Macaca fascicularis: one gene and its partners. The protein of the gene in region 2 interacts with the protein of the main gene of each other region in a pairwise test. Links are inferred from orthologs where the notes say so. Each region holds a gene or a part of one and is shown on either strand. Other genes may lie near its edges.

Region 1 (3,910 bases), on a different chromosome or scaffold from region 2:
CCTTTCTTTCTGCCTTCTTCTGCTCCACCCATTCCCCTGTTTATTTTAAACCTCCAGTATCCCCTTTAAAAAATGATTTTAAAATAAGCTTGGAAAACAGAATGCATTCTGTTGCAACAACATTTGTTGATAACACTTTAGGGCTTTAGCAGGTGAGGTCTGATGCTGGAAGCCCAATGACCTCATTGATTGAGCGCAAACTAGAGTAGGAGGGACGCCAGTTCTTCAAACTGGATACCTCTCCCAGTTCAGGGCTCTGCCTCTCCACTTCCCATCCCTTAGCACCTGAAGCAACCTATAGCAGAGGGAAGCCCTGTGGGCCCTGGCAGAGCCTCATAGAATTGCGAGAAACTCTGGCTTCCCTTCCAAAGTCCGGGAGTCCAGGGAGCATCCCGACCTCCCTGGGGTTTTTTGAGAGGAGTGTCACTCACTAAAGAAGATTTTGGAAGCCTGGGGGCCTAGCAGCAACCATTTGTCAGAGCCTACCTGCCTGGTTCTTGGGCTCTGGAAGTGGGAGCTTGGAATCCATCAACAGCTTACAAAGACTGGAGTCCCCCTGGGTGCACCCCTGGGTCTTCCTGTCATCCAGTTGGTGTTTCTGCTGGTTTCTGTCCTACCATTACAGCTACCCTAGGAACCCACTGAAGGAGGAAAATAAGACAGTTGAAGGTGTCACAGATGTAGGGATCTGAGTAGTGATTCACTTTAACATGCATTTGATTGTTTAGAATGTATGTAATATGCAATATGTATGCAATACCACTCCTCAATCTGAGGGTGTTTAATGTTTCACTTCACCAAAATGCAGCATCTAGACCGGCTTATGAATCTTCCGCTGCATTCCGTGAAGATGGAACCTTGTTATACTAAAGTCAACCTGCTTCACGAGCGCCTGCAGGATCTCAAGAGCCGCTTCAGATTCCCCCACGTCGATCTGGTGGTTCAGAGGACACAGAACTACATGCAGGAGGTGGGTGTGGCAGGGGCATCCCTGGTGGAGGAGGGTGAAGAGAGAGCAGAGAAATGGGTGCTGACCAGTGAGACTGGCTGCTGGTGTAGCTGAGGGAAATGCGTCGCATCTCTTTAACCATCATGTTGGGGGAGGACATGTTCAGTCCCTCCACTGGCTTCATCTTCCTTCCATGTGGGTGAACATCATAGACAAGATATAGCTCAGAAAAATAAAGTAGCATTAATTGATAACTACTCGATTTGTCAAATCAGTGCTTTAACCTTGGCTACACGTTGGAATCACCTGGGGGAAATACTGATGTCCAGGCTGGAGGGCAGTGGCACAATCTTGGCTCACTGCATGCAACCTTTGCCTCCCAGGTTCAAGTGATTGTCTTGCTTCAGCTTCCTGAGTAGCTGGGACTACAGGCATGTGCCAACATGCCTGGCTAATTTTTGTATTTTTAGTAGAGATGGGGTTTTACTGTGTTGGCCAGGCTGGTCTCAAAACTCTTGACCTCAAGTGATCTGCCCACCTCAGCCTCCTGAAGTGCTGGGATTACAGGCATGAGCCACCACACCCAGCCTATATGGCTACTTTTTGATAGAACGTCCCTACCCTGATTCCAGCTGCTTCTAATATGCAGCCAGGATTGAGAACCACTGGCTTAAATTAATTCCGTAATGTAATTAAGAGCAAACCAATCAATCAATCAATCATAGCTTCATATTTGAATTTCTTGAGTCTGCTTGACAGGTTTCTTTTTTTTTTTTCATAAGGAACCTTTTCCCCAGTAACAGGAATGAATAGCACAAACTCCTTCCATATTATGGTGTTTCTTGAATGAACAAGGGGTGTGGTCATCAACACTCTAAAGGACACCATGCCATTTCACATAGATATTCTGAGGAGAGATTACTGTGGGCCAGACACTGTACCAGATCCCACTTCAGGGAGCTTGAGTGAGACAAATTCTTAGATAAATTCACTACAGCGTTGAAGGTATGATAAAGGTGTATATTGTGGCCAGGCACGGTGGCTCACGCCTGTAATCTCAGCATTTTGGGAGGCCAAGGCGGTGGATCACTTGAAGTCAGGAGTTTAAGACCAGCCTGGCCAACATGGCGAAATCCTGTCTTTACTAAAAATACAAAAAAATTAGCTGGGCATGGTGGTGCACACCTGTAGTCCCAGCTATGTGGACACTGAAGCATGAGACTCGCTTGAACCCTGGAGGCAGATATTGCAGTGAACCAAGAGTGTGCCACTGTACTCCAGCCTGTGTGACAAAACGAAACTGTGTCTCAAAAAAAAAAAAAAAAAAGTGTATATTGGATGCTTTGGGATCACGGGCTTGGGGAAGAAAGGAGCATTTTTTTTTTTTTTTCATAAAAGTTATGGACAGGATTAAGTGATACATTTTAGCTAACCCTTGAGTTGTGAGGGATGAAAGAGGAAGAAGGAACAAAATTGGGCAACAGTTTAGCAGAAGTCTCTTTCGTAATATTGGACCCTGGTGACGGGAACACAGGCAAAGGTGCAGAGAATAAGATACCTGAACTACTTCTGCTTTCTGAGCCATGAGCATGTCAGCCACTGTCCCCACCCATGCCTGACCCTTCCTGCCTTCCCAGCACTGCAGAGAGAGGGAGAGAGATGCTGCGGAGTGCTTTACATCCACTTAAAAGTGGAGGTGCAGCCAAAAACTAGTTGAAGAAGGCTCCAGCCTCATCCTCATCCCTTAATCAGTGGCTGCAGGTATCAAAGAATAGAAGAGGAGTACCCACAGGAGATGACAGAACGCTTGCTCAGTCCCATGGCCTTGGGTTTTCCAACTTCTTCCTGCTCCCACTGTGGCCACGTGACCATTTGTTTCACAGCCTTGGTGATGGGGTGATGTTGCTGTGGGTCACCCCCAGAGTAACAGCCGAGGGGACTCATCTCTGATGGCCCCTACTCTCCAAGCCCACTTAGCCAGCCTGTGGTTGGTGACCCCAGCCTCTGACTGTTGTCTGTTTCTGTGTCACTTCTGCTTTCTAGCTAATGGAGAATGCAGTGTTCACTTTTGAGCAGTTGCTTTCCCCACATCTCCAAGGAGAGGCCTCCAAAACTGCAGTTGCTATTGAGAAGGTTAAGCTCCGAGTCTTAAAGGTAAAACCGTTCTCTTGTTTGTGGGAAGCATAAAATGAGAACGTGACCCCTGTTTCTTTTGTGAAGTGGAAAATACCATGTTCTCTCCTTCGCTCTAATCTTTCCCCACTCCTTCCTCTCCGAAGTCCAGTGACTTGTCAATCTGCTGCGGTTTCTCCAGTGTGACTTCCATGCCTCTTCTGCCATCTAGTGACCACTGCTAGTCCTCAGTACCATTACCCACAGCTAGAGGCCCTGTGTCCCAGCTTTCATAGAGATAGAACTCGACAAACATTTATTGGCTGTCCACCATAAGTATTGTGTGGGATGTAAAAATAGGCAAGGCCCAGCCTCTTTCTTCAAAGAGGTTACAAATATGGTAAAATCCATTAAACTGGCAAATATTTTATTGAAAAATCAAAACCTCATGGCAAAGGAAATACTCCAAGGAAAAGAAACCTACCATATGAAATTGTTTTAAATGTACTTCAGCGTAAGTGTATATTAAAATAGCTTTAATAATAGGAGCTTGCGCATATGTTATATTTTAAAGGCTTTTACTTGATCCCTACAAGAACTTGTGCATTAACTGGAATATGCCCCCATTGTACAGATGAGGAACTGATTCTGTAAAAGCTAATGTGACTTAATTAAGCTCAACAAGTCAAGTCAATGGTGAGTTTAAGGATAAACGATCATACACTGATTTTTTTTAACTGATTTTTTTTTACTGCCTTCTAGTTATCCTAAACAGTGCCTTGGAACAGAAGATCAAAGTCCCACAGAGCCTAAGGGTGGTCTCTGAATTTCGGACTTGATCTTGATGCT
Region 2 (3,910 bases):
CAGTGGGCCCTCCTTTTCATAAATATGCCTGGGCTTCAGTTTTTCCATCCATAGAATGAGGAAGTTGTCATAGAGAATCTGGGGATTTGTTTCCAGCTTTTACAATTCCACAATTTATAGTTCTCTGTCCTTTCATGGTTCTTATTTCAAATTCCCAAGTTATTATTCTTATGTTTGTGGGCACAGAATGGCCCATGAGCCTCTTGTCCCACAGCTAAATCACACCTATTATCGGAAAAATATATATGTTGGAAAAGCAGCTCTCAATTGCGATGAAATAAATGACAGCCACTTTCAAGGCCAATAACTGAACAATTACAGGAAAGCATTGAGTCTTGTGCCAACATGGCTGCTCCAACCCGAGATGGCCGCGGTACAAAGGATATTTATACGTTGGGTTTCAGAACAATAATTCAAGTGCTCAAGAGCCTCATCTTGTGATGTTATCACAAGAATGTCCAGGCAATGTTTTCTTTAACTCCAGGAAGAGTGATTTAGAAGGACGGATCTTGCCACATGTGTCCAGCTGCGTATTTATTGCTCTTGGAAGAGAATTATTCTGTAAACACAGAAATATCCAAGAATGGATGCTTGAAAGATGATCTTTTCCTTGCTTACAGTTGTCAGGACCGTGTATATGCAATAGTACAAAATTAATAAACTCTATCAAATTTCCTGTAATCATAAACCAGGCAATAATATTTTATTTGCATCAGAAGGTCTGATTCTGGGATTTCACTCTCCTATCGTTTGAAGACTGCAAATTGAACCAAGTGTTCTTAGAGCCTGTGAACTCTTGCTCACAGTTACATAGCCAACCAGTCTACCTATTTTTTTTTTTTTTTTTTTTTTGAGACGGAGTCTCACTCTGTCACCCAGGCTGGAGTGCAGAGGTGCCATTATCAGCTCACTGCAATCTCCACTTCCTGGTTTCAAACGATTGTCCTGCCTTAGCCTCGTGAGTAGCTGGCATTACAGGCATGCACCACCGTGCCCGGCTAATTTGGTTTTTGTTTTGTTTTTTGTATTTTTAGTAGAGACAGGGTTTCACCATGTTGGCCAGACTGGTCTCGAGCTCCCGACCTCAGGTGATCCACCAGTCTCAGCCTCCCAAAGTGCTGGAAATACAGGCGTGAGTGACCGCACCCAGCCCGGTGTACCTATTTAACAACAGAGAAAAGTTTCCACTTTTAGGAAATGGAATATTGCCATTTATTCCTGAAGAAACTTGTCTGTTTTTAATGCCCTACGGACGTTTCTCCACACCAGCTATTCCTGCGGTAGGCGTTTTCTCTCCAGGATCATTCTGACATGATTTTATAGGAATGGTCATAAGAGAAGGGCCCGTCCCTTGCTACTTATGCACACCGTGTATTCATCCTAGGAAAAGTACAGTGTGCCGGGCGTGGGGACGCCTTTTTTTTAACTTTTATTTTCGGTTCAGGGTACATGTGCAGGTTTGTTATATAGGTAAACTGTTGTCACAGGGGTTTGTTGTACATATTATTTCATCACCCAGGTATTAATCCTAGTACCCAAGTGTTACCTTTTCTGCTCCTCTCTCTCCTCCCACCCTCCCTCCCTGCTCAGGTAGACCCCCGTGTCTGTTGTTCACCTCTTTGTGTTCATGTGTTCCCTCATTTGGCCCCACTCATAAGTGAGAACATGCAGTATTTGGCTTTCTGTTCGTGCATTAGTTTGCCAAGGAAAATGGCCTCCAGCTGCATCCGCGTTCCCACCAAAGACATGATCTCATTGTTTTTTATGGCTGCATAGTATTTCATGATGTATATGTACCACGTTTTCTTTATCCAATCTGTCATTGCTGGGCATTTAGGTCGATTCCATGTCATCGGTATTGTGAAAAGTGATGCAATGAACATTCCTGTACATGTGTCTTTATGGTAGAATGATTCGTAATTCTCTAGGTGTATACCCAGTAATGGGATTGCTGGGTCAAATGGTAGTTCTGTTTTTAGCTCTTGGAGGAATCTCCATACTGCTTTCCACAATGGTTGAACTAATTTACACTCCCATGCACAGTGTATAAATGTTCCCTTTTCTCCGCAACCTCGCCAGTGTCTTGTTCCTGTTAAAAGGGCTTGAAGTGTTGCCCAGAGAGCCATTGACTGCAGCCACTGCATTTCTGACTATTCCATATCATTGTTTTGAGAAGTGAATCTTTCCCTTTATCCTGCTCTCAGGATACCTGGGCAGCTGCAGGATGATCTTTCCCATAGGGAGCAATGATTCATCCTCAGGGACTTTGGCAGTTTCTCTTGTGCAAGGTCAGCTTGCACTCCCAATGCAGCACGGAGGTCAAGGGTAATAGTGGCCTCATTGCATCTACTCTCAGGTTTCCCAGGTCAGATCTCCCTCCCTTTTGCCGCTGTGATTTCTTCCTATTCAAATCATGAATCATAAAGAGGAGCTCATGGAAAATCTTTTTATAGAAATGGACATATTATTTCTATGGCTGCCTTTCTATTTTGGGGGCAGGGAGAAGGGGAAGATGCAAGGCTGGGTCACAGCCGGACAGGATGGGGGCTCTGGTGCCAGCCCTTACCTGTATTTAAAACTGAGATAGCTTTTTCTGACACAGTAAAAAATAATTCGTGCTTTTCAAGAAGTGGAATGTGACCAGGTGTGGTGGCTCACGCCTGTAATCTCAGCACTTTGCTAGGCGAGGCGGGCAGATCACCTGAGGTCAGGAGTTTGAGACCAGCCTGGCCAACATGGTAAAAGCCTGTCTCTACTAAAAATATAAAAATTAGCCGGGCATGGTGGTGGGCACCTGTAATCTCAGCTACTCGGGAGGCTGAGGCAGGAGAATCGCTTGAACCTGGGAGGCAGAGGTTGCAGTGAGCTGAGATTGCACCACTGCACTCCAGCCTAGATGAAAGAACAAAACTCTGTCTCAAAACAAACAAACAAACAAAACACGAAGTGAATGCATTCAAACACAAAACTGCCTTAGCTAATGAAAAAGAAAACAAAAAAGGTGTTATCATTGAAAATTATGACCTATTAAAGGGTGAGTTTTAATTATTCATCCAGAGGAATTAACCATCTTTCAGCTAAAGATGGCAGACAGTGGGACAGTTAATGTCTTTGCGTGCATCTCTTTCAGAGAGTGCTTAATGGGACCTGGATTTTCTCTTCTTTTTGATAGGTTGCTGAAAAGGCAGGTGTCAAAATGACTGAGCGCTTTGACTGCCACCATTGCAACGAATCTCTCTTTGGCAAGAAGTACATCCTGCGGGAGGAGAGCCCCTACTGCGTGGCGTGCTTCGAGACCCTCTTCGCCAACACCTGCGAGGAGTGTGGGAAGCCCATCGGCTGTGACTGCAAGGTACCTGCCACGGGACTGCGGGTCCCCGGCTGCTCCCCCAAGAAACACGGGCTTCTCTGTGATTTGTGCTGAAGCCCTGATCCACCACTAAAGTCTGTCTCTTGAGCCCCCTCCGAGAGGTGTGGACCCTGCATGTAGCCTTTCGGAAGCTTCTTCCCTCTAGCTAATGTGATCTCTGCCCACAAGCACTGGGTGAAGGCCTTGCCAGGACTTTCGTGCTTAGTGTCTCTGAGTACATTCTCTGTGTTCTAGTTATTAGTGCCCTTATCTAACCACCCAGCTGCCTACCAACACTGTAACTTTCTTAAGGGCGGTGCTCTCTTCCTCTTGTCTGTTTGCCCCATGGTGAGTAACGCGGAGCAGGTGCTGTGCTCAGTCAATATTTGATGAATGAATGTGTGCATGAGAGAACCAGAGTGGGTTCCTGGATAAATGGGCACATAAAAGTACAAAGTCCTTGGAAGATTGTGGGCTCTTTTCCTTTAATGAGAGAAGGACAGGATTTGTATTGTTTCCTTTCAATGGGGAAATGCGTTCACGGCTCTCCTGGGATGGCAC
Region 3 (4,710 bases), on a different chromosome or scaffold from region 2:
TCGTAGGTAAGGAAACTGAGGCTCAGACAGGTTAAGAGAAATAAATAAGAGACCTGGAGCAGGGGAAGAGGGACATGTTGCCCTCTTAAATCATAACCACCAAAGTCTGAAATCAGATACACAACTGGAAATTCATCTGAGCCTCAGATTCCTTATCTGTAAAATAATTTTTCCATCACAGGGTGGCTGAGAAGGTTTACCACATGTGAAGTGCCTGGCAGACAGAGGCCAACAATACATGTTAGTTCCCTTCCAAATTTATTTCCCTCCACTACCATTCTCTCCAAAATTCTAAGCTTAGGGGAGAAGCCAGAGAACAGACGTTTCCTATTTTCTTATCATAAATTTGGATCACACTGTGCAGGGCTTTCTGTACATCCAGAATATCTCCATTCTGGGTCAATGGATTTGGTAGGCCAGTCCTATCCTCAGCTTCCGGGTCATTACAGCTAGAGCACTCCCAGCAACAGCTCCTCACACACCTTCCAGTCTTTGATTTTTCTTTCTTGTAATTCAGATGGTCCTGTCTCAGGGACTCTGTATTCTGGATACAAGATTCTGAAATGTATCTTACAGTTCTTCCCCAACTGCCCACCAAACCGAGTTCTCACCCCAGCGACCAGCATCACCTGGAAAACTGTCTTTTCATTTGTTCCTCAGATGAACAGGTTTTCCTGGGCAAAACATCACCAATGGAGGTCTTACCATTTTTTCATCATAAAGGAACCCCCTTGGGTAGTTGAATGGTCCCCTGGGCTGGTGCCAAAGTAGTCACTATCCCCAAGTTCTAGTCTGACTTGGTTCACAGTGCCTGGGCTGCCCTGGGGATGCCTCTAGTGGGCATCTGTCAGGATGAGAAGCGAGTGTCCCTTTGAAGGAGACTGTGTGTATGTGGGGGTGTGGGGGCAGGTGGCTTCTCTGGGCTTGTAAGAGGCAGAGAAACTGGGATGCCACCAAGCTTACGATTCTCTGCCTTCCAGTCCACCCCTGGCTTCTCATGTTCCCATTTGAGAAGAAAACTAGCCTCCATACTGTCCCTTTCCATATTGTCCCCCCCACCTTGCCACCCCTCTACTGTAACAAAGGCATGTCCACACCACATTTTCAAAGTTATCACAAGTGTCTCGGTCTACCAACAACTAATTCTGATGACTCCAAAGGAGCAAGAGAGACATAAGGGAGACATCTAAAAAACGGTGGGAAAGATTCCCTGGGAAAAGCACAGAAAATCTTGCCTGATGCATGTGAGGCTAAGAATTGTTTTCTCCCTACTGGCTGCTTTTCTCTCTGTTCTAAAGAGAAGCTTCCAAGAATCAGCTAAATAAAGGGATCACACCAGAGGATGCGAGATAATGCTAAACCAACAAAAACAAAGACCCAAATGAAACAGAGAGAGCCATGAGAATACGCGGTTATCAAAACTTTGTTTGGCCATATCTATTTATCATCGCTGCACACCCGGGCTCTGCGGAATATCATTCTGTTGATGTCACTTATCCTCAGCAAAATATTTACACATCCTTAAAAACGCCAGATGAGGGGGGCCGGGCCACGCACTGCCGAAAGCCGCCCCTCAAACCCCATCGCTGGGTTCTGAACAGCCCAGGACGTAAGGGCACGACGGTGGGTGGCACCAGCGGGCACAGGTGAGAGCTACCAACAGTTCCGGGAACACGGTCACCCAGACGCTGCGCCGTGCCCTGCCCACCTTTCCTCTACCTGACTCTGCAAGCAGCAGCCACATACCCGATATGGTGTCGGCGCCTCCTTGTCCTCCTCTCCTGCCTTTTTCATTGATTAAGTTATCAAACCATTGTTAAAGCTGGGTTGCTTTTTCCTTGGAAAACTGGGCTAAATTCATTAAGCTTCCCTCTGCCACAAAAGGAATATTCATAAAAGTTTGGCAGGCAGAAAGGGAGACTGAGTGAGTGCCATGGTGTGGGTAACAATCCGCTCCTCCAAAGCCACCTTTTTCTTCCGTGCCCCATCCCTCTCTCCATCCATCCGTCGTGCCCCAAACCTACTCCAGGGACTTCTGATAGGGGAACACAAAGCAGCAGCTGTTTGGCAACATTTCTGCCCCTCGCCAGCAACTGTGGTGGGATGCCATTTCCCCACCCAGGCGGAGCTTATCCTGAACAATAGTTGGGCTTTAAATGGCAAACAAGCAAACACACAGAGCACAACCCCAACCTCGAAAAAGCCACAGCGGAGAGAAGCAATAACTCCCTCCGCAGCAAAAGGCGCCACTGAAATGCACGCAAAAATGCAGCGAGAACGTTACTCAGTGCCTAACATGGCAGAAAGCCCGAGTTGGTGCGGCCACCCCAGGACTGGGCACTGGGGGGCACCGGGGCTCCTGGGGCGCCGACGCACACTCACCCGGCTCCGGGGGGATGCGGGGCTGGCCGCGCGTCACAAAGAGGAGCCCGGCGCAATCTGGCAAAACCCAACTTTCCACCAGGCTCGCCAGGGCCGCCAGATACGTCAACAGAATCCATCTTTCGAAGGGCCTGGAAGGCGCCGGGTTTTCTGGGCCGGGGCAGAACGGCAGATCCGGAGACTGCCCGGTGCGGTGCCCGGGCGCAGAGTCCGCCGTGCACCACCCTCTGCGCCCGGTGCCAGCGCGGGCGGCTGCCCGAAACCCACTTCGGGGCCCCCGCCCCGCCGGTCGGCGCCGCCTCCCCGGCAGTCCCCGGCCCCGCCGGCCAGTGCGCGGCGCCGGGGACAGGAGCGGGGGCCCCGGCGCGCCACACGGGCGGCGGCTTCGGCCCGCGTCCCCGCCCCAGCCTGGCCCTCCCCGCCGGCCCCGGCCTCCGGGCGCCGTCCTGCCCCCGGGAGCAGGCCCCTCCCCGGGCGCCGGGCCCCGCCAGGCGCGCCCAGCCCGGCGCGCCCCCTGCGTCCCAGTGGCAGCTCCGCGGGGAGGGCGGGGGTGACCCCGGCCCGCACGGGGGCGCCGCGCCCGCTACCTCGCAATCGCGGCCGCCGCCTCCAGGAAGCCGCGGGGTGGTCGCGGGTGCGGGAACTCTCCGGTCTGGCCTCGCCGCCGGCCGCCTGAAGGGGGTGCGCCGCGGTGGGAGCCGCCGTCGCCGCTGTCACCGAGCCGCTGTCGCCGCCGCCGCTGCTGGTTGTGCGTGAGCGTGTGTACGCCTGTGTCCGGGCGAGTGTGTGTCTGCGTGCGGCGCCCGGCCTTTACTATATACACCAAGGGGTGGGAGGAGGCGGGGAAGGGGAGGGCTTGGGGGAGGCGGCGGAGGAGGGGGAGCAGGAGGGGGGCTAAAGGGTACCCGAGGAGGCGGCGGCGGAGGAGGGACAGGTGATCTCGCCCACGGGGAGGGCGTGGCCGTGGGCGGCGCGGGGTGCCAGGAGGAAGGGGTGTCCGGGGCGGGGAGGGGGACCTTGGGGGGAACGCCGGGGGAGGGCCTGAGGAGCTGGGACCCTACTGCCTCCCGGGGGGCTGGGGACCATTCCAGACCCCAGGATGGAGAAGAGCGAAGAACAGAGCCCAGGAGGGAGGAAGTGGCTGGCTGATGGAAGCGGGGGAGGTGGGAAGGGCCCAGCGATCACCCGAAAATGCCAATTGTGATACCGGTGAAGAAAATGCCAATTGTGATACCGGTGAAAGATGCTTCTCACAAGGTGGGAGATTAGGAAAGATCAAATTAGTCCACCTACATAATGTAATTTCCATCCAAGAGGTGATTCGTGTATAAATCTAACCTTTATTAAGCGCCTAGTGTTTGCCAGATACTGGGCTAAGAACTGGAGTTACAGGGACGGTGACTGTATGATTGCTGACCAGTAAATAAGTAGTAGGTGTCAGTTGTACTATTGATCATTTTAAAATTGAAAACAATAAATCCTTAGAATTCTTGAGACAGCCAAGGAAGCAACCAAATTAGTTTAATGATTCTCCAAAGATGTAAAGATTTTTTCTATTAATCAAAACAGGATGAAGATATTTGAGAGAGAATAGCAGAGCAGAAATTCTTTAATCGGAGCACAGAACAAAATGAATCTAGCTGTTCTTGGCAGTCTCGAGCCCCCTGAAGTTCCAATACTATGTGTATTAACCATGACTTTCCTCTTATCAAATCTGAGTTTTATAACACAGTTTTTAATTAGTATGGGAGCCTGAACTTGTGTTTGAAAGGCTCTATTCTAACCATGTTGTGTTGCAGGCATAAGGTGGTAGTAACTGAGGCTGAATGATGACTGTGTTGAGCACTTTTGCCTTTGTGGACTCCTTCCTCCATAGAAAGATATTACAAATTACATTTTACAATTGCATTGGTGTAAAGATGAATATAATAGTATTATATATTAAAACAGTTTCTTCAACCTAAAAAACATTTTTTCTTCTGATTTTAAAAGAAATTAAAAGATTGATGTGGGTGCCTAAAAGTACCATGAGCCCCAGGCACTGTGTCTACTGTGCTTAAGGGAGAAGTCAGCCCTGGTAGTACCGTTCCTTGATACTGAATTTCCTCTTTTGAAAAATAAGAGTTAAATTAAGGAGTACCCAGACCATACAGGGGTGGAAAGACACACAGTGCAAGTTTAAGAATTGATAATAATGAATATCAACAGAAAGTGTCAGTTTCTACTTGTTTCAGTCAGGTTTTGGGGAGTTTAAAATCAGCCCCAACTAATTAATGATACCTGTGGAAATATTTGTCTATGAATGTGTCTTCAATCATTTCAGTAACC
Region 4 (3,910 bases), on a different chromosome or scaffold from region 2:
GGTGCCACCCCATCCTGCCTCACCAGACCGAGTGGCCGCCAGCACAGTTGGGCTGCTCCAGGTCAATGCTTCGTGGAGCAATAGAGACCTCATGGGAGACATGGAGGACGGGTCTGGCCCTGGAATTGGGGAGTCAAGGGCACCAGAAATGTGAGAACGTGAGGCTGGGAAACAATCTTGAGCATTAGATTTGGCACCGGGATGGGGGTCAGAGTCACAGGGAGGGGCTGACACCCTCAGGGAGGGAGAAGTGGTGGTGAGGGGCTCACCTGAAGAGCACGACAGTGTCAGCCAGGGAGCCCACCAGCAAGTCAGGGTATTGATTCCCATCCATATCCAAGCTGCCTGACAGGGAGTAGCCGAAGCTCTTGATGCCCACAGCCTCGCCCTCCAGCACCTAGAGAACCGGCTGTCAGCCTCCCTCGATCCCAACTCCCTCAGGCCTCTGCCTCCCCGATGCCTCTGCTGATTCCACCCACACCCATTCCCTCATCCCAGCGACTCCCCTCACCTGCGAAGGTTTGGCGACAACCCCCAGGCTGCTCCCATGGTAGATGAAGACTTTACCATCACCATCAAAGGGGGCGCCCACTGCAATATCTGCAGGGCACAGGGAAAAGGCAGTCACCCTGGCTGGGGGCCTTGCAGACAAGGTCCAGGCCTCAACTTTTCCCCAGTCACTCAGGTATGTTTTCTATTTTATTGAGAGGCTACAAAATCCCAGGCACTCTACGTACATCATCTTTAATCCTCTTGGCCACTCCCTGCAGACATTACTAACGCAAAAAGGTTAGGTAACTTGCCAAGGTCAGAAAGCCGGTAAATGGTAAAGCTCAGACATAAGCCCAGGAACCCTCACTCCCGGAGTCCTCAGAAGACCGCACCCTGACCTCTGAGGGGCTTCCCCATCCCTCCTGCGGCCCCTCCCTCCCCTGAGCCTTTCAGTTCCCAGTCACACCTGGAAAGCCATCTTGGTTGAGGTCCCCCAGGACAGCCAGGCTGATCCCGAACATGGAGTCAGGGGAGCCGCAGAGCCGGAGAGGGGAGATCCCAGCCCAGTGACCCCCCTGGTTCAAGTACACATACACGGCACCCCCCAGCTCTTCTTGGCGCTCAAAGAAGTAGGGGGCACCCACTATCAGGTCTGGCCAGCTATGGAGAGAGGGAAACATTCAGTACGGGTCCTCCCTGGCCAGAGGAGCCAGCAGGAGGCTGAGTGGCCTCAGCCAGAATGGGGCTACCGGACCCAGCCTCCCTCAGGTGGCACGGCCCTCTACCCACTCACCCATCACTGTTGAGGTCAGCCACAGCCAGCGAGTAGCCGAAGCCGGAGGTCAAGCGCTCCCCAGACAGCATAACCTCAGGCACCAGGCGACTGGCGCTGTCCTTGCGCAGGATGACCACAGCACCCTTGTGGTTGGCACGGGGGGCCCCAGCCACAAAGCTCAGCTCTTCTGCACGCACCAGACCTTTCCCCGAGTCAATAGAGAAGCCTGGGGAAAGGGTGACTTACCCCTAAGTCTTCACCCCAAGACCCAGAAGCTGGGGTTTGTCACAGCTCCCCCATCCCCTGCCCCTCCCCTAGGTTAACAGTCAAAAGATAGGTTCCCCAAGTCATCAGCACCACAGCTGGATGGCTCTTCCTTCCCGCAGGGCCTGGCAGCCCCCCACACCCACCAGGCCCAGAGACAAGCTTGGCACAAAAAGTGCAGTGAGGTCAGCCTCAGGGAATGGGCAGGAGACAGAACGGTGATGGCTGAGAAGGCCAGGAGCCCAGGTAGGAGGCTGAGCACAGTGGCCTGATCCTGCCCACACCCAGGGAGCTAGAAGAGCTAGAGGTCCCTCTCAGGCCCGAATCCCACCCAGTGCACCTCTTCTCCCCACTCCCTCATCCTGACAGGAATGGGAAGTCTTCACATGGATGAGGGGGAGACAAGGGGGAGTGAGAGAGAGCCTGCTTCACCCAAACATCTCCCAGGCCTGGTTTCCTCCTCCTCTGCAGAGGGAGGCAGATGAGACAAGGAGAGGGACTTACCAACACCACTAGCCCTTTCCTCAATATGTGCCCACCATCCATCCCTCAAGGAAAGTCCCCCTAGAAGGCAGGACTGTCCTTCCCAGGATATCCTCAGCCCTGGCCCTCTCACTCCACCTGAATCTTCCTCCCTGGAGATCCCTGGCTCACAGCCCCAGAGGCCATCACCCTTGGGGCCTCCTCTTCTTAGGCCTGGTCACTGGACCCGGCTCTTCTCTGCAATTTGGGCCCAATGTGTGTCTCCCTGGGTGTGTGTTGGGGGAGGAGGAGATTATAAGGCACCAAAGGTCAAGTTCCCTGGGGAAGGAGGGGAGGCCAGGCCATGCCCCTAGAGTCCAGGAGGTGGGAGCTTACAAACCTAAGTAGCTATTCAGGGCCAAGTCTCCGGCTGGTCCTGGGAGCCGGTCAGCAGGGTCCAAAGTTTTATACACCAGCTGGTCAGGGTCTGAGCTATCAATGTTGGTCACAAAAAGCAACCCTGTGGGGGGTAGGGGCAGACACCAGGGACGGGACATCCAGAGGAGGGGCCACAGAGTAGGGAGACAGAGCCACAGAAAGGCCAGAAAAAGGTGGAAGAAGAAGAGGTAGAGAGAGAAAAAGAGACCAGAGAGATCACAGCCAGAGACAGAAAGACAGAGAGAGACAGGGTGAGAGACAGAAACAGAGACAGAAGGATGGGAGCATGGAGAGGGAGGACAAAAGAGAGGAGCAGAGGGTTAGAGCAGCTCTGGGCCGGGGAGGGGTCCCTACCAAAGTAGCTGTTGGCAGGGACCGGGATGAGGCGGGGGTCCTGCTCCTTCTCACCCCCCGCCTCGTAGGGACCGTCGTCCAGGTGTGCCAGGTCCGCTGAGCCCTGAGCACAGAGCTCCACCCTGGCCGTGCCTGCAAGGACAGTCCTGTTAGTGCCCAGGGCAGGGTGCAAGAAATACCCCTCAAGCTGGACACTGAGTTAGACAGGCACACGGGGAAGCCCCTCCTCTTCTTTCTAGCCCTCTCCCCACCCTGTTCCCAACCCAGGCTTCCTGGGGTCCCCCAGATGTGGCATCACACTCACCGAGTGTCAGCTCAGCCAGCAGCAGCGTGCGGAGACGGGAATGGCAGTGATGAGGTGTGGGCTAGTGTGTTGGAGCATGCAGGCCCCAGCTGCAGGCCCAGCGTGCACTTGGGGCCCATGCCAGCACGTTGAGGAACACTTGGCCGTGCAAGGGAAAGGAGGCACCCCCCACTCACGTGTGCACTAGCTCAGTGGGGGTGGAAGGCATGGCAGTGCCCTGGGGCCATACAGCAGTGCACATGTGGTCATGCTTGGCCATTTCTCCGAGGTAAGAGGAGGTTTCGGTCCCCTTCTCCCCTCCCCGAGGAGTGACTCACCCTTCCAATTATAGGTTCCTGGGGCCCCAAAGAGGAGGTAGTGGCTATCAGGGGAGAAGGCGGCAGCTGTGCCCTGCTGGCAGAACCCAAATTGTTCATGGCCTTGGGGGCGCCCCTCACAGAACTTCCATTCCCCACCATCCAACTCATCCCGGATGGCCAGGTCCTGGCTTAGCACAAAGCAGCGACCAATCATATCCCGTGTCTCCAGGATCTGGTCCACTCGCTGCCTTGCCTCATATCGGTGTGCACAGGTCTGGGGGAGGAAGGGATGGGGATCATTTCACTCTGTGGGCCAGGGACCTGCTTGAGGCATGCTGCCCACATGCAGAGATTTGGCAGACACTGATACGTGTGTGCTCACACGCACACGCACATGCACACATACACACACATACCGCTATGCCGGCACCACTCAAGCACCATTACCCTGCCAATGTTACGAAGGTCCGTGCATAACCCAGCAACCTGTCTGCACCCACTTCCTTGCCCTCAAATGGACAT
Region 5 (4,527 bases), on a different chromosome or scaffold from region 2:
ATCTTCTAGATCATTAGAGAATTTTACTATTTTATGGTTCATAAATTTTCTCTAAACAAAAAAAATCTTACCTCAAAGGATGCACTGGATTGTTCCTTCTGAAAAGATGTTTAAAAATTCAGTTTCTACAGCTAACACATTGTTAAACATGTATCCTACTTAATTTTTACATCATTTATGCAGATCTATCTCTTTCACAAATGTGACAAATTAAAAATGTTATATGACTTTTGAGGCTTGAAAGGTAATTGCTTTAATGTCTTTTACATTTAGTAATTTTTATTAATATACTTTTATCTTACATTTATTAAAGACAGTTTTTGATGGTTGAGTCACTTTAATTTGTATTAAATATTTTTACTATATTATTATGAATGTATGATTAGGATTATGATTGTGTCTGTACTTCATCCTATGGATGCCTTTGTATAGACAGACTTGGACCCAGTGCCCTAGGCTATAAGATATATATACATTTTATGACTGGAATAAGATATGTTTATCTAGGTTGAGCATCTGTGGAGTTATTTATGCATGTATTTGTTGCCATTTTTATGATTTTTTATTACTTATTGATTTGTTTGCTTTTTCTTTAGTGACTAGCAGCACATTGGTGTCGGAAGCATTTGGAGCACTATAGGAAACTGTTGAGACAGTGGGTAAATATAAATGATTTTGATAGAAGTCAAGATAATTTTCATGAAATTCTTCTTTATTATACAGTAAAAAATGTTGGTGATGTTATTCTCTACAAATAGGCATATAGTCCACTATTTCTTGATTTTTATGAATTTTTTCTTGTGCACATACCTCCCTTGCAAGAGCAAGAGCCACCAGGCAGGCAAGAATGATGACCTTCATGGCTACTAAGTCCTGTGAATGGAGAAAAAATTGAATAGTGATAGATTGGTTAATTGGATATATTTCTTATTTAGTTAGGTAAGGTTACTTTTTATAAAAAAGAGAGATAATGTATGACAAAAATGTCTACATTTTAGAAAATAAATAGAATAAATACTAAATAGAAGTTATATCATATGACTCAGGTCAAAATCTATTCTGGCTTGCTATTCTCATTTATCAAATTCCAAACTTCATTGCCAACTATTCAGATATTTCAGCTAACAACTCATCCCCACTTTTAAAAACGTCCCATTTGCAGTATTGATTTTTCAAAAGGCATAAAGAAGTTATAAATATATATGGAAAGATTTATTCATTAATATAAAAATATTTCCTTAGAATCTGTTCTTGCCAGACACTGTCTAGGGACCAGGACTGCAGCAATGAGCAAAATATTACAGTCCTGATATTACTCCCTGATGGAGCCTCAGTTCTACTGGAAGAGACTAATCAAGAAAATGTGTACAAAAAAGTCACATTTTATTTTTATATTTTTATTTTCACTAAACGGTTACCATGAATATTTTAGTTTAATTATTTCTCCTCATTTCCAATAAGACTGAGATTTTCATTTTAACACTTTCCTTATTTGTGTCACTATCCAGAGAATTGTTGGACTATAAAGTTTGTTTCTTCTCTGTTTATATCCATCTTCCCCACATAGCTAATAATATCTGTTCTCCTTTATGCCCCATGACTTTAGAGATTATACACTAGGCTTCTTCTCTTCTCTGTATTAAAATGTACACAAAGGTCTCTTGATGATCTGCCAAGGAGTCAGGACCTCTTGCCCACTGTCCAGCTTGGGACTACCTCTTCTTGTGAAATATATGTTAACATTTATGACCAAAATATACGAAATCATCTCCTTGTTATGTGTTCTTACATTTTTTTAATTCCAAAATAATGTTTATGCCACAATATTACTTGACACTCAAATCTTCATTTTCAGATTTTGAAACTCAATTTTTGAACTAAAAATACTTCATGAAAAAAGTCTCTAATTTATTTGAAAAATGTTCTTTTCAATATTTGAAAGTTGAACATAATTCTCTCTATTATGGAAAATAAATTTTTTTCTAGATTTTTTATGAATGTTAAATATTTTTTTATTAATTTTGCTTTGCCTAAGACCTCCATAAGTTTCCAAATTTTTTATGTCGGGGTTCAGAAAAAGAATATAGCACTCTATTTTGTATATAATTGCACTTAGGGAGGATCCCACAGCATTTTCTATATTTTATAAGTAATCTGCTTATAAACTTTACTAATTTTATTACTAATCGACTAATATATACTAATTTTATATGCTAATATATAATTACTATACTAATTTTATATACAAATATACTAATATATACTAATACCAATTATACTAATTTTTATACTAATTTATATACTATAAATATACTATATACTAATTTTTAAGTCAGAGTTTCTTTATCGACTGGTACGCTCTGAGCTATTTTCTTTTATATCATCTATTATCTTTGTTTATGGTTTCCAAGTCTTCTCTACCCCATTAAGAATTTTCTTACAAAGTAAATCACATTGTTTCTTTTTAACTTAATTCTGTATTTCTGTCTCATTTTAATATTGTTCTGAAATGTTACAAAGTAGATAATAAACTGGGAAATTTGAGGCTCTAGACAAGTTTGATGAGTAAACTCTTCTGAAAACATTGTTTATAAATATTTAAAGTAGTAAATGCCCTCAAACCATTCCCTCTATTTCTTGACTCAGTATGCTACTGCTGTAAACTACCTGTTGGATAAAGCTTTTCCAGTAATTATTTATCTACCCACACTGTAATCTAAGTATATTTCTTTTTATGGCTGTGATATGCTAAATCAAATTGGAAGATTAATTCAAAAATGAATCTCCTTTTAATATTAACTATGAACTAGCCTCATACTAAATATACATATGCATAAAATTAGTTATTACATTTTCTTAAACTCGTGAAGGCTATACGTCATTGCAATTTTTTTACCAAATTCTTCTGGGCACTTCTATCTTTTTTAGCCTAAGTGTTAAAAATAATTTCAGTACTACCTTAAATACTTTTATTTCAAACACTATATTTTAAGCAACTATGTTTTTTCTATAGCTCAAGCTACTTTGAAATACGTGGTTAGGAGAAGATACAACAAATCCGTATCTAAAATTCTTACCGTTTTTCCAAGATTGAAGAGAAGTGAAGGTAGTGCTGGACAGATGATGGTCTATCAGCTTCTGTGGCTGTTTATATACAATATTTAACGACATGCTAATTTTGTGGTTTGAAATAAGATCAACAGTGAGCTTTAATTCCAAGAAGTCCACATGATTAGAAAATGATTTCTGCCTATTATATGTCCCCACAAATTCTGGGGATCATTGTAACAAGGGAACAATTCACAAGTTGATAAAGGAAACCTGTCCAGGAAATGCAACTGTTCAATAACAACAGACAATGACTGGAGGACAGTGACCCTCTGGCCCTGTCCCCAAGTTATTATGGACATAATTAGATCTCTTTAGGGCTTAGTGGGGCCTTGAGATTTCAGTTGTGGGAAAATTGTGTGTGAACGCTAGAGATACACAGGGCTTCACAAAGGCCACAGTTTCATGTGAACCTGAGCAGTTGTCAGTGCTTTATGTTGAAATGAAAAACTGACAAGATAACAAGTCCGTGATGGCAAACTGTTATTTGAGGCAAACTGTTTTTCTCCCAGGGCCACTTGATTTGGAAAAAATATATAAATTATTTAGTTAAAACAAATATTTTATACACAAGATAAATAAACTTTCCTCTGTAATGAAACAACTCAAAGAAGGAATCTGGGTGGCTAGTAAAGGCAAAATCTTCAGTAAATCTGTAATAAAAATTTTGCAAAGTATCACAGAGTTTTATTTACCTTTTAATATTGATTATCTCTTTTCATGTCAAGCATAATTATGATAATATTAATGATGGTTATTTTTTACTTAGTTCTAACCCTTTGCCAAGCACTAAGCAAAGACGTTATCTTGTATAATCTTCACAAGAACATCATGAGGTAGCTCTCCTCTCCATACTTAGGTTGAGAAAACAGAGATGCCAAAAGATTAAGTAACTTGCTCAAAACTATATTGTTAATGGCAAAGATATCATTTGGACCCAGGTTGTCTGACTACATGTGATTCTGGTTGATCACATGTGAGTCCCAGAGCCCATGTCTTAACCCCCTGATTTTTAAAATAAAATTTATCTATCAATGTAGCATTTGGTGGAAATATGTAGAATTTAATTATGCCTGAATTGGAAAAGTAAGGCCTCTGTGCTGAGTGTGGCAGGGGAGCTTGCCATTAAGGAACTGCTCTTCTAGTTGAGCCTTAGAGAATGAGTAGAATATTGAGAGATGATTAAATGGGGATAGGTATTTTGGCTGAAGAAAACACAGGAACTGAAAGAGCAATATACCAAGTTTGGGGATATTCAGAGAGCATACAATACAAGTTACAATTGCAGAGTCATCAGATCATGGATGACTGTGCATGTCAGACATGCACTGTGACATAATTCACTAGAAGCAAATATATTAGAGATTTGAAAGAAAAATGGATTGTAAAATTTCTTGGATTCTATAACTTTATGACAGT
Region 6 (3,910 bases), on a different chromosome or scaffold from region 2:
TGGGATTACAGGCGTGAGCCACTGCGCTTGTCCTATACTGTATCACTTTTTTTTTTTTTTTTGGAGACAGAGTTTTGCTGTATTGCCCAGGCTGGAGTGCAATGGCACGATCTCAGCTCACCGCAACCTCCACTTCCCAGGTTTAAGTGATTCTCCTGCCTCAGCCTCCCAAGTAGCTGGGATTACAGGCACCTGCCACCACGCCTGGTTAATTTTGTATTTTCAGTAGAGACAGGGTTTCTCCATGTTGGCCAGGCTGGTCTTGAACTCCCAACTTCAGGTGATCCACCTGCCTCGGCCTCCCAAAGTGCTGAGATTACAGGCGTGAGCCACCGCACCCGGCCACTGTATCACTTTTTTAAAAAACAACTAAATTAATTTCTAAAAAGCAAAACAAACAAACAAAAATCCTCCTGCTGCTCTGGCCAAGGAAAGAAGACGCCTGGGACGCACCTTCTGAGTTCAGGGTGATGAGGGTGACGTTGCTCCCAATGCTCTGGCTGCCCGCCTGTCCGCAGCTGGACACCGAGTCGCTGGCCTCCGAGCCGCTCTCCCCGTCTTCATGGTGGCTGTCTTCTTGGCCCGGCACCTTCACCACAATGGTGTTCTGCCGACGCCCAGGCACAGCGCTGAACGGGAAAAAAACACACCAACCCAGTGTGGTAAGAGCCACAAGCAGCACGCGAAGGTCAGTGCTTTCCTTATCACAAGATCTAACTCTGCATGGACCAGTGGATCACACAGCCTTCCCAGACCGCTCTCTCTACCAAGATTAATAGCAACTCCATAGGAGAAAATGGCCCGGGGCTAAACGAAACTGTATAAAATAAAACTTAACCATTTAAAGAAAATATTTGTATCACAAAAGAAGTAAAATCATAACTCACTGGGACTCAGGCCTAGTATGCTGCCTTCTGAGTTCAGCAGTCAACCTATAGAATGCTGGTAGGAGTCTTTTTTCAGGCGAGGTTAAAGGAAAGACTAAATCAGAAGACTGTGCCCAGAGGCCTGGGTCAATTCGATCCATGCTGCTGGGCGTGCTGGAGATGGCTCCGCCTCTGCAAAGCAAGCAGCACTCCCAAGTATGCCCACAGGCAAAAAAACCCTGAAGGGGCTTAAAAAACCCACTGAGATCCCATCGGAGCTGCCATCATCCCAAGGGCTGCTGATGTGGAAAGACAGAACACCGCTAGCAAAGCAGGGCGAGGCCAGCTCCACAAGTGCTCAAAAAAAAGATGATTTAGAGACTTACTACTTCCCTTTTTTAATGACCCTTTCAACATCCCCTACCGTGGACTGCTACGCACCAGAAGAGAAAGGACCACAATTTCTCTATTTGCAAAGTCAAAAAAAAGGGGTGCTGAAAACACTGGCCGCACCCAGAGGAGGCTGCACTCTGCGCTTTCTGGCCTGGGTTCTCCAGAGCGCTGTCCATGCTGAACCTGATCTCAACACTGGCTATCTGCCTGGTTGACCTCAGCGCAAAGCCCCCGAGGCACAGCTGACCCTGGCACCTCCTCACCACCCATCACCAACTCCTCTCCCTTCACCCCACGTATCAGACCCTCGTGACCACAGCTGCAGCCCTGGAGAACTGAGCTAAGACAATACGGAAAGGGGACGAAGCTGGAGGAGGAGCAATCCACAAAGGAGACTGAGAGAAAAAGCAAATAGAACTTTGTGAAGACACAGATGGGAAAGAAAAAGCAAGAGCATCCTCAGGGGTTCACGCAGCCCTAAGGGGCACTCCTGGGGAGAGCAGGGCCCGGATGCCAGCCAGAGGCCACTGCACAGCCTTCCCCTCACACAGGGCAGGGATGGCGTCTTCTGTCCACTCCCACCTCTGACCCAAGTTCCGTTCAAAATGTCTCAAGAGAAAAAGGCATAAGAAAAAAGTCATAAACTCAACATGCCTGCACCACTTAGCAATCGTGGGAGAGGGTGTCTGTTTGCCTGACACGCTCTGCACAGACAGACAGACGTCAGGACCACTGAGCTAGGTGGGAGGATGAATGCTTTCACTGACTGCTGTGAGGAGACAGAGCCAGCCCCCTCCACAACCCCAGCCAGCACGAGACACGGAAGTCCCCGGCGGCAGCTGCCCCCTGGTGTGGCTGGACTCAGCACTCAGCATCACCCAGCCTGCCCTCCCCGACCTCAGAGAGCTGGGGCGGTGCCTGCCAAGCTCAACCCTGTGACCACAGAGATGAAGTGCGTGCTGGACTGTGCCCTGGCTTGGGGACGTTGACTTATTCTCACGGGACTCCTCACAGTGGCAGGGAAAGGTGGGGTTGGTGCCGTGCTACTGACTTGCTAATGACATTTTCCAGGGAATCCGGTGCCCTGTTGCTCAAGGGGTCTTCCATCTTGGCTACAATGGCGTTCTGCCGATCATTGTTGAGTATTACTGTAGTCTGGGGGACGACGCTAGGGAACAAAAGAATCACAAAGAAAAAGAAGGCCTTAAAACAACAACATTCATGGTAAGAGCACATAAGAGTCATTCAACACAGTCCACTCCCAGGGACCCGCAGTGAGGGGGAGGCCTAAGAGTCATTCAACACAGTCCACTCCCAGGGACCCGTCCTGAGCGGGGAGGAGCCCCAAACGCTAAGGAAGAATAAACTGGAGATGGGGTTTTTAACAGCGTAACTTTCCTAATTGTTGGTGTTCTGTCTGCACAACTGGATAGGCTCAGGACAGCCGGGATGAGGATGCTGAGTGTGTGACACAGAACAGACTGCGACCACACCAGCTGTTATCACACCCAGTTAATAAAGCTTCTGGGGTGACACACTTGCACGAAAACCGGCTTGACATTTTCAGTCACTCCATCCCAACTAATTCCTATGGTACAGATCTAACGTTCGTAACCATGTAAGTGTTGGTATCGTCCAAAACGGTAGCGCCCTAGAAAGAAAGGGGCAAACATCACAGTGGATTGGGATGGAAGGACACACGTGCTGCCTCCAGGTTGTGCAGGAACATGTGTGAGCCACAACCACAGGGCTCAGGGTTCTGCTTTGAAGGAAACAATTCTACCAAAGAACAAACCACGGCCCAGAAACCACCAAACCTGGTGCCACCCTGGAGGAAGCACTAGTGTGTTCAGACAGGCGGGCTAACACAGCTTCATCTCAAAGTGCAGACTCACCCACAGATTTCAATTGTGCGTTTTTAAGCCTTAGCACTTTCTGGTCACAAGGGATATCTAAGGTACACTTTGTTGTGGAAGGGTGGGGAGAGAAGGAACTAGCACTTGAAATACAAAGTGGTTATCACCTGAGGATAAAACACCGTTCTTGAACTTCACTCTCCAAAAACCAGCTTGGGAAGCCTCTGCCTTTCTGTGATGTGCCCACAGGAAAATCCAGCCTAGCGTCCCTGTAACTGTCCCCACATTGAGTGCGAGCACAGCGCCATGCCATGCCCGAGTAAATCACGGGACCACAAGGTTTTCTTCCTAAAATAAAGGCATAATCAACTGCATTTAATTCAAAAATACTATTTTTAAAATTCCTCTACTTGTTATTGGTGACACCTAAAGTTAACACAACAAAACCTGATAAATGACCTACAGATCGGGTATGAAAAGCAGCCCAGGTGGCTGCTGGCTTGGTCACCACAGTCACCTACAGGCTGCAACAGTCCTATGCTCCTCAGAGATGTGGAACTGGAGAGGTTACCTGGCTTGCACGAGCTTGGTATATTCTCCAAGTGGAGGCTATGGAACACTGGTGCCCCGGGATCCTAGGCTCACAGCATGTGGGAAGGCTGGTGTCCCGGGATCCTAGGCTCACAGCATGTGGGAAGGCTGGTGTCCCGGGATCCTAGGCTCACAGCATGTGGGAAGGCTGGTGTCCCGGGACCCTAGGCTCACAGCATGTGGGAAGGCTGGTGTCCCGGGATC
Region 7 (3,910 bases), on a different chromosome or scaffold from region 2:
CACCTATTGTCCCAGCTACTTGGGAGGCTAAGTGAGAGGATCACTTGAGCCCAGGAGATGGAGGCTGCAGTGAGCCATGATCGCACCACTGCACTCTAGCCTGGACAAGAGAGCTAGAATTTGTTCTCCAAAAAAAAAAAAAAAAGCATTTTAAAATTATGGTATGTACATTGCTTTTTTTAGACATAATACCACTGCAACACTTAACAGAGTATAGTGTTAACATAACTTTTTTATGCATTGAGAAACCAAAAAATTTCTGTGACTTATTGTGCTACTTGCTTTATTGTAGTGGTCTGGAACCAAACCTGCAATATCTCCAAGGTATACCTATGCTTTTAAAACGTTGTAGCTTCAGATTTTCATTGTGATATAAACAATTATTCTCAGTCCTACAGTATTTCACAAGTGAGGATGAAATGAAAACAGTTTTTTTTTAAGATGGAGTCTCACTCTGTCACCTAGGCTAGAGTGCAGTGGTGCAATCTTGGCTCACTGCAGCCTCCGCCTCCTGGGTTAAAGCTATTCTCCTGCCTCAGCCTCCCGACTAGCTGGGATTGTAGGCGCCTGTCACCATGCCTGGCTAATATTTTGTATTTTTAGTAGAGATGGGGTTTCACCATGTTGGCCGAGCTGGTCTTGAACTCCCGACCTCAGGTGATCTGCCCACCTTGGCCTCCCAAAGTGCTGGGATTATAGGCGTGAGCCACCGTGCCCAGCCGAAAACGGCTTAAAAAAATTATTTTACTTTAAGTTCCGGGATACATGTAGAGAATGTGCAGGTTTGTTACAAAGGTATACATATGCCATGGTGGTCTGCTGTACCCATCAACCCAAAAACAGCTTTTTAAAACATAGTAACAATGGATGAAACAGAAACACAGCCTCTTCCCTCTGAAATCATGGGAGATGATTTCAAAGTTCTACATTTCAGAATTCTGAAATGTGTGAGCAAAGGACCACTTATCAAACAAGAAATCTGATGGAATGCCTTGAAACAATGGTTTATATTCACTGTCTCTAATTCCCCTCTCTCTATTCTCCCTTAAAGCTATTCCAATCTTTTCACCCTTACCGCTCCTTTGAATACACTCTTGTCAAGTTCATTCGTGAACTCCATGTTACTAAATCTAATGGTCAGTTGGCATCTTTTTCAACCTGTCAGAAGCATTTGATAGCTGATCACATGCTCTCCTTCCTGACACACTTTTTGTACCTGGTTTCCAGGATACCACTCTCTTGGTTTGTTTCCTGACTCACTGGTTGCTTCTTAGACTCTTTTGCTGGCTCCTTTCATCTCTCTAACCTCCAAAAGGTGGAGCGCTTCAGGCCTCAGTCCGTACTCCCTCCCTAAGTGACCTCATCCAGTCTCCTAGTTCTAAATACTACTTATATGCTTATATCATCTTCAACTAAGGCCTCTCATTTGAATTCCAGACTCATATATCCAACTGCTTATTTTGTATCTCCACTTAATGGTTAGAGGCATCACAAACTTACCAGGTCCAAAACCAAATTCCTGATTCTGTCTCACCCTCACTGTCATGCTTGCTCCCTCTCCAGTAAATGCCATCGCAATCCTTCTAGTAATCGGACCAAAAATCACCCTGCACTCCTTTTTCTCTCGCACACTCCACGTCAATGAATCATGATGAGTTGACTTTTGAAATACATCTAGAACCTGATCACTTCTTACTACCCATGCTGCTGCCATGTTGATTTTAAGACACTATCATTTCTGGCCTAGATTACTATAATCACCACCTAATTGGTCTCCCTGATTCCATTCTTGTATCCTCAGATTCTATTCTCAACACCGTAGCCTGAGTGATTCTTTAAAAATGTAAGTAAGATGATACCATTGCTCTGGTCAAAAACCTACACTGACATCTCATCTCACTCAGAGTAAGAGTCAAGAAGATCTCCTAGGCCAGGTGCAGTGACCCACACCTGTAATCCCAGCATTTTGGGGATGAGGCACAAGGATTGCTTGAGGCCAGGAGTCCCAGACCAGCCTAGACAACATAGCAGGACCGCATCTATCAAAAAAAAAAAAAAAAAAAAAAAAAAGATCTCCTGGAGTGGCTCTTCTCTACTACTCCGAACATCTTCTCATATCTCCCTGGCTGTTCCTCAAAAACAACTACCACATTCACACTTTGGGGTCTTTGTTCTTGATATTCCCCCTGCCTGAGATGTTCTTCCCCTCAGTATCAACGTGTGTGCTCTTTCAGCGTCTTCAAGTCTCTGTTCAAAGGCTGCCTTATCAAAAAGCATTTCTCAGACCATCCTCATAAAAGAGAAAAATGACTATATCCCCCTACCTCCTGACTTTTCTATTTTCCTTACTCCACTGTATTTTTTTTCCCATTGCACTTATCATCACCTGACATATTGCATATCGTTTTTTTTCTTTCCCCCTTCTAGCAGGATACAAGCTCTTTAAAGCAACTTGTTTTGTTCACTCTTCTATGCCCAATGTCTACAACAATGGCTTGCACATAGCAGGCATACAACTTTTCTGAATGGATTAATGTGATATTACATATCTGTTAAATCATATTTCTTTGTTTTCATGTATTTAATTTTGTAAGAATACTTTTAAGTCTACATCTGTCATCAAGGAATCAAATCAAGCATCCTTGACAAACCTAACCATATATGTTCTAAGTCTGTCATTCACAGGAAGTATTTGAGGAATAGTAATAATATGGATAAGGGAGCCCTCACCGAAGCAAACGTGTTTGTTGCCTCTTCCGGATAGATGGATTAGACTCAAATACATGAGGCCGTTTCCGTTTCTTTCCTGTTGCCACAGCAGCAGCAGCGGCCATTCCCACAGGACCTGAAATAATAACGTATGTGCTGAGATTAGGCAGCTGCCTGTAAACTGTTCAAGACAGAAACAATTAAAGGTACAAAAAAGGTAGCACTGCGTTCCCAATATGTTGTCAGTAAATATAGAATGGTCCTGATATTATCAATATACTTCACTATTGTTTAACATGATTCATATTGTGATTTACCAATAAAACATATAATGAATCTTGTAAAAAAGCAAATGATTTACACCTCCCCACCACACACCAGTTTGAATTTTGTATAATGTTGTTTTTGTTTGGCTTTGTTTTGCCAGCATGCCCATACTGTTAAGGCAATATTCTTAGAGGTGCTAGGAAAAATTGCAGCACTAAGAGGAAAAGCTTGCCAAAATTGAAAAAATTTACAGATTTTACTTCTATCCCTGTGTCCCTGTTTCCATTACTCCAAGACACTGCCAAGTTAAGGAAGTTGGAGATAATCACTCACATTTGGAACTCCAACAACACCTAAAGGAGTATCTGAATGAATACCATCGTAATTGAAAAAATTTTCTTGTATATCTGGGAATTGTGCCAAAAATGGAGATGTTCAACACAAGGTCAAGTTGATGAAGGCATTCTGGCAGAAAAGAGATAACTTTCCCACTCTGAGAAAATGTTAATAAAAGTTAGTCTGGCTTGCCCTGAAACTAATAATGTCTTGTTTTGTCTTTTCAAGGGTAGATGGAGGGTAGACTCTAAGGAACTGTTGAAGTCTCTGATTCCTGGGACCTCAACATATCAAAGACAATCTTTTTTAAAAGGCATGTTACCTTTATCTTTATTTGTGAATCTTGTAAAAGGCTTAAATAAAAATTAAATTTAATTGCTCATCTGTATATTGGCATATATATTCTAAGTGGCTCAAATAAAATAAGCCTCCCTGTAAACCTAAATGAACTTTTCTACATGTTGTTAGTAATATAATCAGCCTGACTTAAATAAACCCCTCTAAAGAACCTCAAAGCAAATAAAAAATAAACGACTGCTTTTTACCTTTCTTTCCATCATAAATAGCTGTTATGGAAAAAATTTTATTGCTGCGTTTC

Evidence for each region.
Region 1: the proteins of FHL2 (region 2) and NIBAN1 interact in binary tests that used the Homo sapiens proteins (3 or more experiments, as listed by UniProt). The two-hybrid records come from large-scale screens. The link is inferred for Macaca fascicularis from reciprocal best matches to the Homo sapiens genes FHL2 and NIBAN1.
Region 3: the proteins of FHL2 (region 2) and RAI2 interact in binary tests that used the Homo sapiens proteins (3 or more experiments, as listed by UniProt). The two-hybrid records come from large-scale screens. The link is inferred for Macaca fascicularis from reciprocal best matches to the Homo sapiens genes FHL2 and RAI2.
Region 4: the proteins of FHL2 (region 2) and ITGA7 interact in a two-hybrid assay, tested with the Homo sapiens proteins (2 studies listed by BioGRID and IntAct). The link is inferred for Macaca fascicularis from reciprocal best matches to the Homo sapiens genes FHL2 and ITGA7.
Region 5: the proteins of FHL2 (region 2) and CSN2 interact in binary tests that used the Homo sapiens proteins (3 or more experiments, as listed by UniProt). The two-hybrid records come from large-scale screens. The link is inferred for Macaca fascicularis from reciprocal best matches to the Homo sapiens genes FHL2 and CSN2.
Region 6: the proteins of FHL2 (region 2) and BANP interact in binary tests that used the Homo sapiens proteins (3 or more experiments, as listed by UniProt). The two-hybrid records come from large-scale screens. The link is inferred for Macaca fascicularis from reciprocal best matches to the Homo sapiens genes FHL2 and BANP.
Region 7: the proteins of FHL2 (region 2) and NRF1 interact in binary tests that used the Homo sapiens proteins (3 or more experiments, as listed by UniProt). The two-hybrid records come from large-scale screens. The link is inferred for Macaca fascicularis from reciprocal best matches to the Homo sapiens genes FHL2 and NRF1.

Annotation. Positions count from the first base shown.
Region 1 is NC_088375.1:42,348,770-42,352,679, reverse strand, and holds part of NIBAN1 (protein Niban 1), read left to right. Parts: intron 1-808; coding exon 809-970; intron 971-2,992; coding exon 2,993-3,103; intron 3,104-3,910. UniProt on the Homo sapiens protein: Regulates phosphorylation of a number of proteins involved in translation regulation including EIF2A, EIF4EBP1 and RPS6KB1. May be involved in the endoplasmic reticulum stress response.
Region 2 is NC_088387.1:9,816,357-9,820,266, reverse strand, and holds part of FHL2 (four and a half LIM domains protein 2), read left to right. Parts: intron 1-3,172; coding exon 3,173-3,352; exon of another isoform or gene 3,353-3,356; intron 3,357-3,910. UniProt on the Homo sapiens protein: May function as a molecular transmitter linking various signaling pathways to transcriptional regulation. Negatively regulates the transcriptional repressor E4F1 and may function in cell growth.
Region 3 is NC_088395.1:17,706,277-17,710,986, forward strand, and holds the start of RAI2 (retinoic acid-induced protein 2), read right to left. Parts: upstream 3,174-4,710; 5' UTR 2,970-3,173; exon of another isoform or gene 2,929-2,969; intron 2,460-2,928; exon of another isoform or gene 2,383-2,459; intron 1-2,382.
Region 4 is NC_088385.1:62,483,119-62,487,028, forward strand, and holds part of ITGA7 (integrin alpha-7), read right to left. Parts: intron 3,663-3,910; coding exon 3,407-3,662; exon of another isoform or gene 3,090-3,406; intron 2,918-3,089; coding exon 2,786-2,917; exon of another isoform or gene 2,551-2,785; coding exon of another isoform or gene 2,514-2,550; coding exon 2,394-2,513; intron 1,494-2,393; coding exon 1,286-1,493; intron 1,153-1,285; coding exon 959-1,152; intron 601-958; coding exon 512-600; intron 398-511; coding exon 270-397; intron 120-269; coding exon 24-119; intron 1-23. UniProt on the Homo sapiens protein: Integrin alpha-7/beta-1 is the primary laminin receptor on skeletal myoblasts and adult myofibers.
Region 5 is NC_088379.1:63,990,010-63,994,536, reverse strand, and holds the start of CSN2 (beta-casein), read right to left. Parts: upstream 3,126-4,527; 5' UTR 3,078-3,125; intron 874-3,077; 5' UTR 862-873; coding exon 811-861; intron 99-810; coding exon 72-98; intron 1-71. UniProt on the Homo sapiens protein: Important role in determination of the surface properties of the casein micelles.
Region 6 is NC_088394.1:83,903,189-83,907,098, reverse strand, and holds part of BANP (protein BANP), read right to left. Parts: intron 2,428-3,910; coding exon 2,311-2,427; intron 630-2,310; coding exon 454-629; intron 1-453. UniProt on the Homo sapiens protein: Controls V(D)J recombination during T-cell development by repressing T-cell receptor (TCR) beta enhancer function. Binds to scaffold/matrix attachment region beta (S/MARbeta), an ATC-rich DNA sequence located upstream of the TCR beta enhancer.
Region 7 is NC_088377.1:171,159,531-171,163,440, reverse strand, and holds part of NRF1 (nuclear respiratory factor 1), read right to left. Parts: intron 2,846-3,910; coding exon 2,731-2,845; intron 1-2,730. UniProt on the Homo sapiens protein: Transcription factor that activates the expression of the EIF2S1 (EIF2-alpha) gene. Links the transcriptional modulation of key metabolic genes to cellular growth and development.